Linked DNA regions of Stegostoma tigrinum. The protein of the gene in region 1 purifies or fractionates together with the protein of each later gene. This does not show direct contact. Links are inferred from orthologs where the notes say so. Each region holds a gene or a part of one and is shown on either strand. Other genes may lie near its edges.

What was found. The genes of interacting proteins can lie anywhere in the genome.
Region 2: the proteins of enhancer of polycomb homolog 1-like (region 1) and histone H2A.Z purify together in Homo sapiens (affinity purification with mass spectrometry; 4 studies listed by BioGRID and IntAct, with this or other methods). This does not show direct contact. The link is inferred for Stegostoma tigrinum from reciprocal best matches to the Homo sapiens genes EPC1 and H2AZ1.

Annotation. Positions count from the first base shown.
Region 1 is NC_081355.1:128,371,992-128,379,921, reverse strand, and holds the start of enhancer of polycomb homolog 1-like, read left to right. Parts: upstream 1-4,923; 5' UTR 4,924-4,997; coding exon 4,998-5,150; intron 5,151-7,930. UniProt on the Homo sapiens protein: Component of the NuA4 histone acetyltransferase (HAT) complex, a multiprotein complex involved in transcriptional activation of select genes principally by acetylation of nucleosomal histones H4 and H2A.
Region 2 is NC_081354.1:4,080,800-4,087,738, reverse strand, and holds histone H2A.Z, read right to left. Parts: upstream 3,067-6,939; 5' UTR 2,971-3,066; coding exon 2,968-2,970; intron 2,808-2,967; coding exon 2,730-2,807; intron 2,416-2,729; coding exon 2,302-2,415; intron 1,283-2,301; coding exon 1,153-1,282; intron 1,038-1,152; coding exon 976-1,037; 3' UTR 540-975; downstream 1-539. UniProt on the Homo sapiens protein: Variant histone H2A which replaces conventional H2A in a subset of nucleosomes. Nucleosomes wrap and compact DNA into chromatin, limiting DNA accessibility to the cellular machineries which require DNA as a template.

The DNA of each region.
Region 1 (7,930 bases):
GGAGAGACTGCAAGTTGATGGAAATAAATTCTGAAATCTTCTGTAGGTATACAAATATTAATAGTGAAAGGGTGGTTGGTAGAACCAGGATGGGACCAATCAGAGCCCAAAAAGGGGATTTATGCCTGGAAATTTAATGTCAGTCTTTACCAAAAGAAGAAATACTGTCCAGGTCGTGGTGAAAGGAGATAATTCAAATACTTAGTTTGAAATCGATGAACAGGAGGCAGTGGAGTCAGTCTTTTTATTTACAGTTGGTTAGGCTTCAGGACTGAATAAGAGAGATCCAAGGACACCAGAGATGGTGAGAATAGAAATTGGAGGCATTGACTATAATTTTACGATCTTTCTTTGACTCAGGTGATTATCAGAGAACTGGAGAATTGCAACATTTCTTTTAAATGTAAAGATGAGTTTAGCAACGATATGCGAGTCCTATAACAACGCTGATGGCAAAGCTTCTGAAACAATAATTCAAGACAAAAGTCTCTTGGGAAATCTGGATTAATTAAAAAATTCCAGCATAGTTTGTTAAAGGATAGCTTTGCTTAACTAATACTTACGTTTGTCTTTTGAAGAGTTAATTGAGCTGGTCAATGAGGATAATGCTGTTGATGTGGCACAAGTGGGTGTGCAGTCATTTAACACAGTGCCACACAACAAATTTTTATGAACAAAGTTTCAGCACTTGGAATAAAAGGGACAAAAATACATGGTTCTGAAAATGGCTGAGTGATGGGAGATAGTGTTCAGTGGATGTTTTTCTGACTGCAGGAAGATTTATGGCAGAATTCTCAAGGTGTGTGTATCAGACCATAAAGATATAGGAGGACAATTCAGCCATATGGTCCATTTGGGTTGCCTTTGCCATTTTATCGTAGCTGATATGTTTCTCAATTCCATTCTCCTCCCTCTCCCCTCAATCTACTTACTAATCAAAAATCTCTCTATCTCTGTCTTAAATGCACACAGTGACTTGGCCCCTGCCACTGAAAGCTGTTATGAATTCCACAGATTTATCATCCTTTGGCTGAGAAACTCCTCCTCATTACATTCTAAAGGGTTGTCTTGTCTATGATGCTATGCCCTTGGGCCCTAGTAGAGGGGGATGGGTCTGGTTGGGATGCTGAACAGGGGATTGGTGTGTGGCGATTTTGTGATTCTAGAAACACCCTCTCTACGACCATTCTATCTAGGTCTCTTAATATTCTTTTCAGTTTCATTGACATCTCCTCTCCCCCCCCCCCACCTCCGCCACAGCCTACTAAACCCCCAGAGTACAGACCTAGAGTCCTCAACTGTTCCTCTTGAGATTAGCCCTCCATTCCCCAGGATCATGCTTGTGAACCTCCTTTGGACCCTCTCCAAGGCCAGCAAATCCTTCCTTAAGACACAGAGCCCATAACTGCCCTCAATATTCCAAATGTGGTTGAGCCTTAGCAGTTTATTCCTGTTTGCTTTGTTTTCAAGCCCTCTTGAAATAAATAAATGCTAACTTTGCATTTGGCTTCCTAACTGCCACCTGAACTTGCGTGTTAAAATTAAGAGAAATAGTTTATGCCTCTTCTTCTTACCAAAGTACAAGACCTCACACTTTCTCACATTATATTTCATCTACCACTTCTTTGTCCACTGCTAGCTTATCCAAGTCCTTCTGCAGCCTTCCTGCTTCCTCAATGTGGCCTAACCCTACACCTATCTTTATTGCTAAGCTTGCAGATGACATAATGCCCTCCATTCCTTCATTCTGATCATTAATGTTGTTTGGAAGTATTATGAACATTGAAGAGAATAAAATTGAACTTCAAAAGTACAAAAATAGGTTGTTGCAATGGCCAGAAAGTTGGCAGATGAAATTTAATGCAGTGAAGTCAAGTCTAATTCATTTTGGCAGGAAGAGCATAGAGACAGAACAAAATAAAGGATACAGTTCCAAATTACCTATAGGACCTAAGAGATATGCACAAGTCATTGAAGGTGGCACGACCGTTTTGAGAACTCTTAATAAACAACAGTATCCTAGGCTTTATTTACAGGACCATGGAGCACAAAAGTAAAACTATGTTAAACTTCTATAACACATTGGTTTGGCCTCAACTGGAGTATTGTGACCAATTCTTTAAGAATGATGTGAAGATGTTGGTATAGCTACAAAAAACATTTGCAAAATGGTTCCAAGCATGAGGAACTAAAGTTTATTGCAGACAGTTGTATGGCTTTTCTTGAATGTTAAGAGGTAGATGGATAGAGATTTTCAAATACGGAGACTGGACACAACTGATGAAGGGAACACTTGCCATTGTGTAACAAAAGAGAGGGCACAGCTTTCTGGTAACTAGAAATGTACATTGGTGATGAAAGGATTTTGTTTCTGTATTGAGTGATTTAATATCTGGAAAATGCTGACTGAGATTGTGGTGGAGACAGAGATTGAGACAAACTTCAATTAAGGCTTTAAAGAGTGATTTGGATTATATTCCAAAAAGAAAATGTGAGATTACAGGGAAATGGCTGAGTTTCTCATTAAGAAATCAGACACTGGCACAACAGGCTGAATGCTCTCTTTCTGCACAGTAACAGTTGTGATTCTGTAGTGATGTGCTGGGACTGAGATGGTTGATTTCCAGAACTACAATCATCTTCCTTTCTGCAAATGTAACTCCAATTATTGGATAGTTTTGTCCCTGATTCCTGTTGACTGACTGCAGTTTTTTGTTAAGGCCCTGGTGTCATGTTGGTCAAGTCCTGCCTGCATATAAAGGCCAGTCACACTCATCTCTCATCTGAAATTCAGCTCTTGTTCTGTGTTTGACAAAGACTAACTAAATCTGGAATTCAATTCCTGGCAGGGCCCAAATTCTTATTGGCGAGTAGATTATTGGAACATAAGTGCTGCTAGATAGTGCTATTGATGATCCCTTCCATCAATTTGTCGCTGACTGTAAACTGCTGGTGCATTAAACAATGTAATCCGTCAAGTGATTCAATCATTTGAATGTCAGTAAAACGCTGTTTTCTATATTTATATATAAAGCACATTGGCAGCATAAGCTCATTGCAAAAATAGTACAACCTATTGAGAGTTACTAGATAACAAACTGCAAAATAAGATTAGCTTGTAAATGAAAAATTGGAACAAATGGAAATTAAATATTCAGTATACTTGTGTATCAATTCAATCTGATAAAACTCTATTGACGTTCATTACTGATTTCCAGAACAGACGTGGGAAATTTCATTAGTTGTATGTAGGTTAAATTAAAACTGAAGATTCAGCTGTCTGCATGTCTGATGTACCACACTTTGAAGTTTATAATTTTTCACCAGCAAATCACAATTTATTGATGTCTTTTAATGACTTTAAATATAAAAGTTTGATTTGGTGTTGTAACAAAAATGTAGTTAAATTCTGTACTTCACAACATGAGTTAATGTTTGGTTTTTTTGTTTTGGAAACGTTGAATTGGTGTGGAATCATTACAACCAAACTAGGTGCAGGCCCTTCAGCCCCTTGAACCTGCTTTACCATTCAATCTACAATCTATCCACTAACCTTTCACCCCTTTTGCTTAACAAGAATCTACCTACCTCTGCCTTTAAATGTCATAAACAATAGTAAATCACCGAGTGGCATTTAGATTTTTGTTGAAACGTCAATTTGCCTAATTGTGCATGGTGACATACTGTTTCAGAATAATAATTAAGTTTAAAAATGGTCAAACTTCGTGCTCGGATGAATTCAAAAACCGAAATCCCGTTTTATGGGCATTGAATTGTTTGATTTGATTCACGGTGTCATATACATTGCCAGATTTGCCTTGAACATCTTTTTGATTCGACAAGTAGCCTTACTGTCTCTGTGCAGTACAAACAATCAAGACTAGCAGGAAGCTTTGCAATTGTTTACGCCGAATTGCGCAATACCCTGTGACAGATTACAACCTGCCCATTGAGTTTTGAACTGTAGTTATTATTATGAGACATGTGACATTCCCCTTTTCCCAGCAGACCATTTAAAAAAAACCAAACGCTGGCACTTCGTGTTGTAGAGGGCGCCGTTTCCAACAGCTTCTTGTAAAGTTGTTGTGACTGAGGGTATCCATGTTGTGGCGTAGTTGAATTAGGAAGCGAACAGAAACGATGGAAAAAAAACTTGGAAGGGAAACGAAAAGACAATAGTCAATCGTTGTGATAACGACTTGTGCATTTCTTTCAAAAAGAGGAGCCAAGAAACGCAGGCTCGGACTGAAAGCGAAGTTTTGTTTTCCGTGGAGCCGAAAACACAAATATTAACCGGGTGGGAGCGGGGGAGGAGAATTCGAAAACATTTTCAAAAGGGTGGGAGGAGAATGGGAGATGAGGTTTTATACAGCATATCCTGCAAAAGGGAGGGGGTGGGCTGCTTGACTCGCTGCTAGGCGGGGGGGGAGAAAAACAACCCGGTAGAAATCCAAGGCAGCCGTTAGTGCCGGGTGCCCAGCGGAGCAGCAACATTCTCCTCCCGCACTAACCGACCGCCGGCCGGTTGAAGTGGGGGGGGGGGGTTGTGGGCCGTTGCGCGCGCAGCTCGGCCGAGCCTCGTCCCTGTTGCTGTGCATTGTGGGATGGCTGGACTTTAATGACCGCCATGTTGGCCATGGCGTATTGAAGTCGACAAAAGGAACCTAAACGGACCGGGGGAAAAACCGCCTTTCTTCCGTTTCCAACCCCCGTTTTTTCTTCACGGAATGGAACTAGGATCTCCAATCTTTCATCCATGATAGGTTTCGGGAGGCTCCGTGTAGGTTTTACTGGGTGTAGGCGTCAACATTTCATCGGCGACTAAAAAAAACGCATTTTATATATATATATATTTATATTTTCCTTCCAACTACAACCTCCCTCCCTCCCTCTCTCCTTCCCCTCCCCTCTTTCTCTCTCTCTCTCTCCCGCGGTGGTGTTTGGGTTTCTAATCCGCCGCGAACACGCACATACAAACCGAGGGAGAGCCGAGAATAATGAGCAAACTGTCGTTTCGGGCAAGGGCGCTCGATGCATCGAAACCTCTGCCCGTGTATCGGTGCGAGGATTTGCCGGATCTGCACGAATATGCCTCCATCAACCGAGCGGTGCCCCAGATGCCCACGGGGATGGAGAAGGAGGAGGAATCGGTAGGTGCACACGGGGCGGGTTTGGTTGTTTTTTTAAAAAACATGCCCGTCTTTTTTTGACGAAAGGAGTTTTAAAAATCATTTTATTCGGACGTGTTTTGTGGCCTCGGGGGAGGGGGGGTGTTAGTGGTGGGCTGGTAGTTGGTGGCGGGAGGTGTTGCCTGTGTGCGCAGGTTGCGCGGCCGCCATTACACGGCTCTCGCTCGCTTCCTCCCAAACATGGGGCCGGGCCGCGGAAACGGAGAGACGGGCCCCGGAACCACCCACACTTTATTCCTCCGCTCGGGAGGGAGGCCGCCCTCCTTGTTTCTTTTTGTTATTTTGAAACAATCGAAGGTCCTATCCCGTTGATTTTTCACCCCGCTGAGCGGGTGGGCGAGAAGGATATTGTTCCTTGTCTACGAAAGATATTATTTTTACCCCCTCGGTGTACAAAAGATCACGTGACTGGCGAGGCAGCCATTTTGTTGTGTTTCTCTCTGGGTTGGGCACGATCTCGGCAACAACCAACTCCAGTAGGAGGGTGGCGCTAGAGAGCCTGAATTTTTTTTGCCTGGGGTGTTGGGAGTTGTGGATTATTGTATTGTAGACAAATTTGTATTTCACTCAGTTCTAGCTCCCGTATATATGGGCGTTGTTTTTATTTGCTCTCTTGTTTTATATGTTCCGTGTGTAAGTTGACTTGCAAAATGGTGCTTCACAACATCTCGCTGAACAGAGATCATTGTGAAAGTATCACTGTTTTTAATCTCAGCACGTGCGCCAGTTGTGACCTGTTGTGCAGTTCCCGAGTATGGACAGCGGGAAGACTCCTCCTTTATAATGCAGATTACTACTACAGCTAAGTTTGTGCAGAGACCGTGAGACTTATAGTTGTTTTTCCGACTGTTTTATTCCACATCCGTCGTATCCACAGTTAGTTTCATGGGTGACATGCAAAATTAGTTTATTGTGAAGCAATAATGTGAAGTGTAACTTATAAGAATTCTAGCGGTTGAATGTCATCGTGTTTTTGAGGCTTTTGGAAAATCTCCCACATCGTGATCTGTAAAGCAAGATGTTACACAGATAGTTGCAGTTGTGAGGCTGTCAAGGTGAAAAATAGTCATAGTTTCAGATTCAGTACCATAGTTATGGTTTGTATTATGAAGTATACTGAACTTGTCAGGCAAGGAGCTGGATTAAAGTCAGGATGGCTTATTATGTGAATAGGATTCTGTTAAAGTCAGAAATATGATATTGCTGGAACTTGGCATTAATCTAATCTAAATAGAGGAGCAGTGAATTCTTTAATTACTGTCACCTAACCTTGCTGATTTGATAGCAATGTACCATTAGCCAAATCTGTTATTACCAAATAAATGTTCTTGCATGAAATTCTGAAGTTGCTGTTAACATCAGTGCATAGTTAATTGGGGGCTCAAAATATTTTCAACACCTGGGAAATACAATATTGCACTTCCCACAGTTTGAATGAGCTTACTGACACAATTAAACAAAATGCATTCAAGCTATTACTTAAGATGACAGTCTACTGGATGTACATCAGTAACTAAAATATGGGGTTGCAGACAGAATACCTCAAAGGAATTCATTTCAACTCATTGGCAAACTACAGTACTGGTCTTCATTTGTGGATATCTGGTTCTACTTCCTTGTGTTTGTAGTCTGTAACAGAAAAAAAGGTTTTTTTTTCCCCTGATGAAGTGTCTAGGCCCGAAACGTCAGCTTTTGTGCTCCTGGGATACTGCTTGGCCTGCTGTGTTCATCCAGCTCCACACTTTGTTATCTCAGATTCTGCAGCGTCTGCAGTTCCTATTATCTATGTATCTTAAGGTTAGGATTTTAGTTTTCCAAAAAGATTCTTATGCCTATTTGTGCTTGGCTTTGTGAATCAGATGCTCAAAATAAGTAAACGGAATTAATTTACATTGCACTGGTGTTTTCTGTTCCAGCAGTTGAAAACCTTTGCTATGCACTACTTTTCAAATGTGGGGAAACTCGAGCAACAATGTCATACAAGGTGCAACAATAACACTGCTGTTCCAGTGATTTTTGATTTGGGCAATAAATATTTGTAAGCAAGGGCAAATGCTTCTTTTATTTTAGATCTTTTGATATGCACTTGTTGTACCACTCTTTGACGAAGTTGATACGCTTGAGTGAAATTCCACATGAGAATTTTTATTGTGATTTATTACCTGTCAGTGCGATATTAAACACCAACCCTGTTTTAGGTGGATGTGCCACATTTTTCACATGAAACCTAAAATCAGACTTCCACGTGAATTCTGGGCTGAATGTAAAGAATTCTTTGACGTAAGTGTTGCAGGATGGGGTGGGAAGATCTCTCTCCCTGCATTGTGGCAAATGTTTAACCCTCAACTAATATCCCCAAATAGCTTAATTGGCTTTCTGGAGTCCAGAATCCTTGAGGCACATGTAAGGTTATTATACTGAAGAGGGCAGATAGTTCTGCACCAGTGTCAGCAGAGCTTCTCCACTCTCATTTTTGCAGTGACAGTTTGTGGTACCAGTTATAGAGTCAGAGATGTGGGATGGGATGAATAGCCAAGGTTTTTTTTTGCCAGGGTAGAGAAACTCAAAACTAGAGGGCATAGTTATAAAGGTATAAAAGAGACCTAAGGCTCATCTTTTTCATCCAGAGGGTGCTCTGTGTGTGTGTGTGTCCATTGGAGCTGGGGCTATCACTTTGAAATATGGTTCTCATGTTTGTCTAATTAGGTATAAATAATGTGATCAGAGCTTTTGTGCTCCTG
Region 2 (6,939 bases), on another chromosome or scaffold:
CATTGATTCCATTAACCACAATCTGATATTTATAGACCAACTTCAACTGTTCACCATCTGGTAAAAGCTTGATGACAAACTTTGTTTACATCTTAATCCAGCCACATTTCAGCTTATTAAAGTTATTCCCATGAATAAATGCACCCACACTTGAATTTCTACAGTTCAGTGACCGAGTTAAATACTGACCTCACTGTACAAAGCAAATTATCCTGTTATAGCCTTGCTAATAAGTATAACAGGATGAGATCTTTGGCCAGGATTTGTTTGCAGCAAAATAGCACAAGCTGTTTGATGGGGACCATATATTGTTGCAGTTTATTGGAAAAAAGGCAAAGAAACAGGTCAAAGCATCAGAATTAAACCTTTCAAAAAGTTTCACACCAAGGAAATTGCAAAATGCAGTGGTATATTAAGAAACACTTGGCAGCTGTTACGTGATCAATGCCATTAGACAGAGCTTTTTAATGCTGGACAAACTATCTTCAATGGTTAGCTAGGGATCTTTGCATTCCCAAATTAAAAAGACAAGTCACACAGCCATTTAATACATTTTATTGAAAACTTCATACACCAATAGACAGAACAAACAGTCAGAACAAACCATCTGGATTTAAATCCACTTCAAAAATAAAAGTCATACAAGCAGTGAGCTCTTCCTGCATTTAAAATACTGCAACAGAGATGCTATGAAAAGGCAGTAACCAGGAAACAACTCCAGGTCACCCAGGTACAGTCCCACCTTGGAGGATATGGTCCCAGATTTGGCTTTCCCAGACTAGTGCACATGGAAGTTTGATTATTGAGCTTTACTTTTTAAAAGACCCCTCCCCTGAATACTATTGAGATAAAAATGTCTATGTAATCACATTTCAGAAGTCCAGTGTCTTTCCAGTCAGATCCTCCAACATTCTACAGCTGATTATTTGGAGATGGAGTCCTGAGACTAGTGAACCAAAAAGGAAGTTTCCACCATCAAACAGTCTTCTGTTGTCCTTTTTTGCCAATCAGGGATTTGTGAATGTGAGGAATGACTCCTGAAAACAAAAAGATAAATCAGCAGGGAAGACACCACAGCACAGAAGAACAATATTTTGTGGGAAGAGAAAATTCTAACAGTTGAGTGTTTATTGAATTAAAATGTTAACTCACCACCACCAGCAATGGTAGCCTTGATTAAGGAATCCAACTCTTCATCCCCACGAATGGCAAGTTGCAAGTGGCGAGGGGTAATGCGTTTTACCTTCAAGTCTTTGGATGCATTTCCTGCAAGCTCTAGTACCTGACAAAACAGGTAAGGTATTAAAAACAGCACTGCTGTTTAACAAACAAATTTTAAAAATTGAGTCCAGAGATCAAGTATTAATATAAATTTACTGCAATCAAGTGAAGGATATTGTGAATGTTATGCTTTGTATTGTAAGTGTAGGGAGATAAAAATAATAAAATTGTGGAGAAACTTGCCTGCATGGCAACATCAGGAAAGAAAGAAATCAGTTAATGCTTTGGAGTCCTCAATGTTCCCCCCTCTGAGGGAAAGTCAAGTGAAAACTTAAAACAGATAATAGGAACTGCAGATGCTGGAGAATCCAAGATAATAAAATGTGGGGCTGGATGAACACAGCAGACCAAGCAGCATCTCAGGAGCTTTTGTGCTCCTGAGATGCTGCTTGGCCTGCTGTGTTCATCCAGCCCCACATTTTATCTTGAAAACTTAAAACAGACTAGTTGTTGTTAGGCATTAGAGACCAAGGGTGGGGGGGAACTTCAACACAAGAATCATGAATTTTAAAAAGGGAGTAACAATCCAAGGTTTGAAATGCAGTTCAACTATTATCAAATACAATATCAAATATCACTTGTCAGGGGTAGGGAAACCATTTCCAAAAATCAAAGCAACCACATGCAGCTCGACTGAACAGGAGATTGCAGAAGGATCCCAAGTAGACACGACTGAAGATTTAATTATTAAACCTGAACAGTGAAGGAAATCATGACCAAAAATTGCGGACGCTGTAAATCAAACAAAAACAAACTGCTGAGAAAAGCTCAGCAAGTCTGGCAGCAACCTTTAAGAGAAATCAGAGTTAATGTTTCAGGTCCGATGACCCTTCCCCCGATAAGGGAAGTAATAAGACCGGAACCTTTCACTCCGACCATTCGGCAAGGCCGACTCCAAATAAAGCCGGAACACAGTCGCCTCGAACCCTACCAGCCGGCAACACGGAACATATCCGGTGACGGACCTGCTGGTCATGGAGCCGCGGCCTGTAACGCGCTCCCCACCCCCCACACACTCACCTCGGCCGTCAGATACTCCAGAATGGCCGCGCTATAAACCGCTGCCGTGGCGCCCACCCGCCCGTGGCTGGTGGTCCTGGACTTCAGGTGTCGGTGGATGCGACCGACTGGGAACTGTAAAAATAAATAGATTTAGAAGGGGGGGGAAACGAAAAGACGGCCGGCAGAAAACAAAAAGCAAACGTCCGCGACGTGAAACGCTATATTTATATGTTGGGGGGGGGGGGGGGGGGAGGGGAGGGAAGGGAAGACATTTCCGGCCGCAGCCGGTTCCCGGAGGGAGAAGGGGGAGGGGCGTGTTCTAAAACATTGAGAGAAGCGCCCGCCCGCACTCCCTCCTCTCGCGCCGCCCGTGCGAGGCTGGACCCTACTGCAGTCAGTCAGTGGGAGGGAGGCGGCGGTAATGGACGCGGGGAAACCGCACTGACCTGGAGGCCTGCTCGTTGTGAGCGGGAAACCGCTTTGGTCTTCGCCTTGCCGGAGTCTTTACCCGCTTTACCGCCAGCCTATCAGAGAATAGCAACAAGAGGTAAAAAAAAATAAAACCGGTTTGCGTCCTGTGGTCGAGATGTTTTTTTCCCCCCCCCCAAACCCCTGTCTGCGACCGCGGATCTGTCGCTTATTTTCACAAATTAAAATTAGACAACATTTTGTTTGCCTCCTCACCATCACCGCCTCGTATCCTCCGGCCCCGGATTTTCAAACCGCTCTGCGCTCCCGCCCCGGCGCCGCTCCTATTTATAGCCGGGCCCCTGCCCACATCCGGGCTCCGGGCTACCGAGCGGCGGCCAATCGGAGGGTTGGAGGGCGGGAGGTACGTACGTACGTGCGCGCGCACCCATCCGCGTACGTACGCGCCGCCAGTGAGGGCCCAGGAGGTTGGTGTGCGCGCGCGCCGTGCTCGCCTTCCCGGTGCACGTGGTGCCGCGGGGCACTTTGTCCGAGTTGCATTTTAGACATTGCGCTTCTCAATGAACTGTGGCTGTTGCACATGTGAAACAAAAGATACAAAGTGCCGGAGCAACTCAGCATGAGTGCAAAGTTAACATTTCCAGTCCGGAGACCCTTCCCCAGAAGAAAATACACCTTTTTAAAAAAGTTTTAGCCGCTGATAAACTGCCAAAAGGAAAATATGAATAGCAAAGCGCTGGAGTAACTCACGTGTGTTTGGCAGCATTTGTGCGGAGAGAAAGAAACACAGAGTCAACCGTTAGCGTCCGATATTGACTCATCTTTGAAGCTATCGGATTTGAAAGGTTAGCCCTATTCTAATCTCAGAGAACACAGCAGAAACCTTTTGAAGAAGGGCCTGGGCCCGAAATGTCAGCCTTCCAGCTCCTCTGATGCTGCTTGGCTTGCTGTGTTCATCCAGCTCTGCACCTTATCACAAAAGAAACAGTTTCGGGTCTGTTATGATTCCACAATGATGTGACTCTTTGAAGAAGAATCATAACTGACTCAGTACCAAGTTTCTTCAACAGTGTTTCTATTTCTACCATACAATGCCACCAGACAGTTTGCTGAAAAATTGCTTGCAACAAAATTCTATCTTCAAGACATGTCAAAATTGGGGGAAAACCTATGATTTCAATGTCGACGCATAGCTAGAACTCAAAACATGCACAAAGATAGATTTTGTGTATATATGAAATAACTTGCACTCTTAACAGCAACTTTCACAACTGTTGGTGCTTTGGAGCTCTTCAAGAGCCAAGAAAGTGCTTTGGAAATGCAGATGCAGTCAGAGTACAAAAGGTAAACAATCTGCACACAGTGTAAAGCTCCCACAGCACAGTAAATGGAGCAGAGAGTGCTTTTCGTGATATTGATTAAGGGATAAATGTTGGACCCAAGACATTGAGAAGAGCTCCCCTGTTCTTCAAAATAGTGCCATGAGACCTTTTACATCCCCTTTCATCTAGAAGACAGATGCCTTGCTCCAGCTTGAACTTCATGTTCTTTCCATCATTCAGGGTAGTGCTCATCGACGTGTGATACATACATCCAGTAATAGGGTCACACAGTCATATGAATAGACCCTTTGGTCCAACCAGTCTATGCTGACCATAACCCTAAACTAAAATAGTCGCATCTGCCTGCGCTTGGCCCATATCCCTCCAAACATTTCTTATTCGTGTACTTATCAAAATGTTTTTTGAACATTGTAATTTTACCCGCATGCACCCCTTCCTCTGGCAGTTCATTCCACATACAAACCACTTCTGTGTAAGCAAGTTGCCCCTCATGTCTTTAAATCTTTATCCTCTTAGCTTAAAAATATGCTCCTTAGTCTTGAAATCCCCCACCCTGGGGAAAAGACACCTACCATTCGCCTTTATCTATAGCCCTCATGATTTTATAAACCTCTACAAGGTCACCTGTCAACCTTCTATGCTCCAAGGAAAATAGTCCCAGTCTATCCAGCCTCTCCTTATAACTAAAACTCTCCATTTATTGTGTCTGCAACATCCTGGTAAATCTTTCCTGAATCCTGTCCAGCTTGATAATGTTCTTCTTGTAGAAGGACGACTGGACCAGAACATGTACTCCAGATGAGACCTTACAAATGTCCTGTACAACCTCAACATGACGTCCAACAGATTGAAGATAACAGCAGAGTGGCAGGGCAGTGTGCGGGATCTTGCCCGGGGTTGATCCGCTCCAGCCTGCTTTCCATCTTTTATTTCTTTTTACTGCTGCTCTTTTACTTTCATTTTTCTTTGGAGCCCTTTTGCAGCAGATTAGTCAGCGAGATCAGTGTGGCAGCTTTGACAGTGGTTTGGTGGTGGCTCCTGCCAGTGGGCACAGTTCTTCACAGCAACTGGAGGCCGTGGCTGCAGTGGCAACAGGGACGTCCTCCCGTATTTAGGGCTGGCGGTGGCAGCAAAGCTCCTCCAGCAAATGGAAGCAGCAGTGGCAGCAGATTTTAAGGTGATGGTGCCAGCGAGGTGATATCTTGCAGGAGGACAGCCAGAGCCAGACCCTTTGTGAGACGGTGGCCATGGCCTAGGAGTGGAGCCAGGGTCTCCGTGTTGCAGTATACCCAGAGCAGGGACTCTTGGCATTTGCAAGATGGTGGCTGCAGCGGCAGCAGTGTGGTATGCCTCAGGCTGGGACTCCTGGCATCATTGAGACAGCAGCAGAGCCAGCCTGGTTCTGGGTGCGTGTATGGATTCAGCACGTGGCCTGGCAAGGTTGTTCTAGCACCAAAGAGATGGCACTTAGAGTGGCAACTCCCACATCGATGGGTCTGACACACATGGCAGCAGAGGAGGGATGGTGACGCATGACTGTCTTCCAGTTATATTTTTCATCCTTTTTATTTTTAAACGATTGAAAATGTCACCAGATTGAAGCAACTGTTGAAACTTTTCACTGTATTAGCTGTAATCTACATGTGACGCAAACTTCAAAGAGTTCTGTATTTGAACCTCTAGACCTCTCTGTTCTGCAACACTACCCAGGGCCCCACCATTAGCTGAATAAGTCCCAGCCCTTGTTTGTTTTACCGAGATGCAATACCTTGCATTTATCCAAATTAAACTCCATCTGTCACACCTCAACCCATTGACCTAATTGATCAAGATCTCTTTGTAATCTTAAATAACCACCTTCACTGTCCGTCATATCACTAATTTTGGTGTCATCTGTGAACTTACTAACCGTGCCTTCCAAATCCTTATCTAAAATTATTTGCATAAATGACAAACAAAAGTGGACCCAGTACCAATCCCTGTAAAATTGACCAACAAATTCCAGTATGTACTGAATTCTGCACACCGTACAAAATTCACTGACTTATTCAGGTTAACTTAATTACTGGTAGAATTGATGTGTCACTATTATCGGACAGTCCCCTTATTAATACATTACCTGTTTTCTTTGCACAGAGGCTTACTAGCCTGTTCATCCAGAGTTTTCTGTGTTTTGACACATTTTTATCATTTGCAGGGGTTTTGGTTGCATTTTATTTGCCTATCGCGTTTGCCCCGTGATAAGTTTTTATATGTTAAGTTTTGATATCTTCTGGAAAATACCTTTGAATGATTTAAATATTACACGGGATGGAAAACTATTTCTGTTGAGTGTAAGCATAAATAGCTGTAGGAATGGGAAAAGCCAAGCTGGTTAGAATTGTGGTGACAAATGAACATTGGGAATAAAAATGCATTAAAAACTGTATTAAATTTTTACAAAATATTTCATTAGGATCTTAAGAGAACAATTGACAGACTGATCAGTGTCAGAAATTGAGAAATCAATCATTAGAACATAAAAATAATGATTAAATGAATTTAAATTGATTGTGAAAATTACGCGTTGAAAGATTTCTGCATTTTTAAACCTGTCTCAGTTACTGGAAAAACAGACTTGCAATTTCAGAGTGCCTTTCACAAATTCAGAATATCAGAACACCTTACAGCTGCAAAATACTTTTCCAAGTGTTTTCATCAGTATTCACCTTTGGAACACAGCAAACATGGCAGCCGTTTTGTGCACAGACAGATCCCAGACACAATAAATGAGGCTGCAACCGGGTAATATTTTCTTCAGTGGGATTTCTGTTAAAGTCGCACATCAATCCGAGAGGGTGGCATCTGCAGTTCTTTCGGTTTTTATTCTGGCAGATCAGGACTT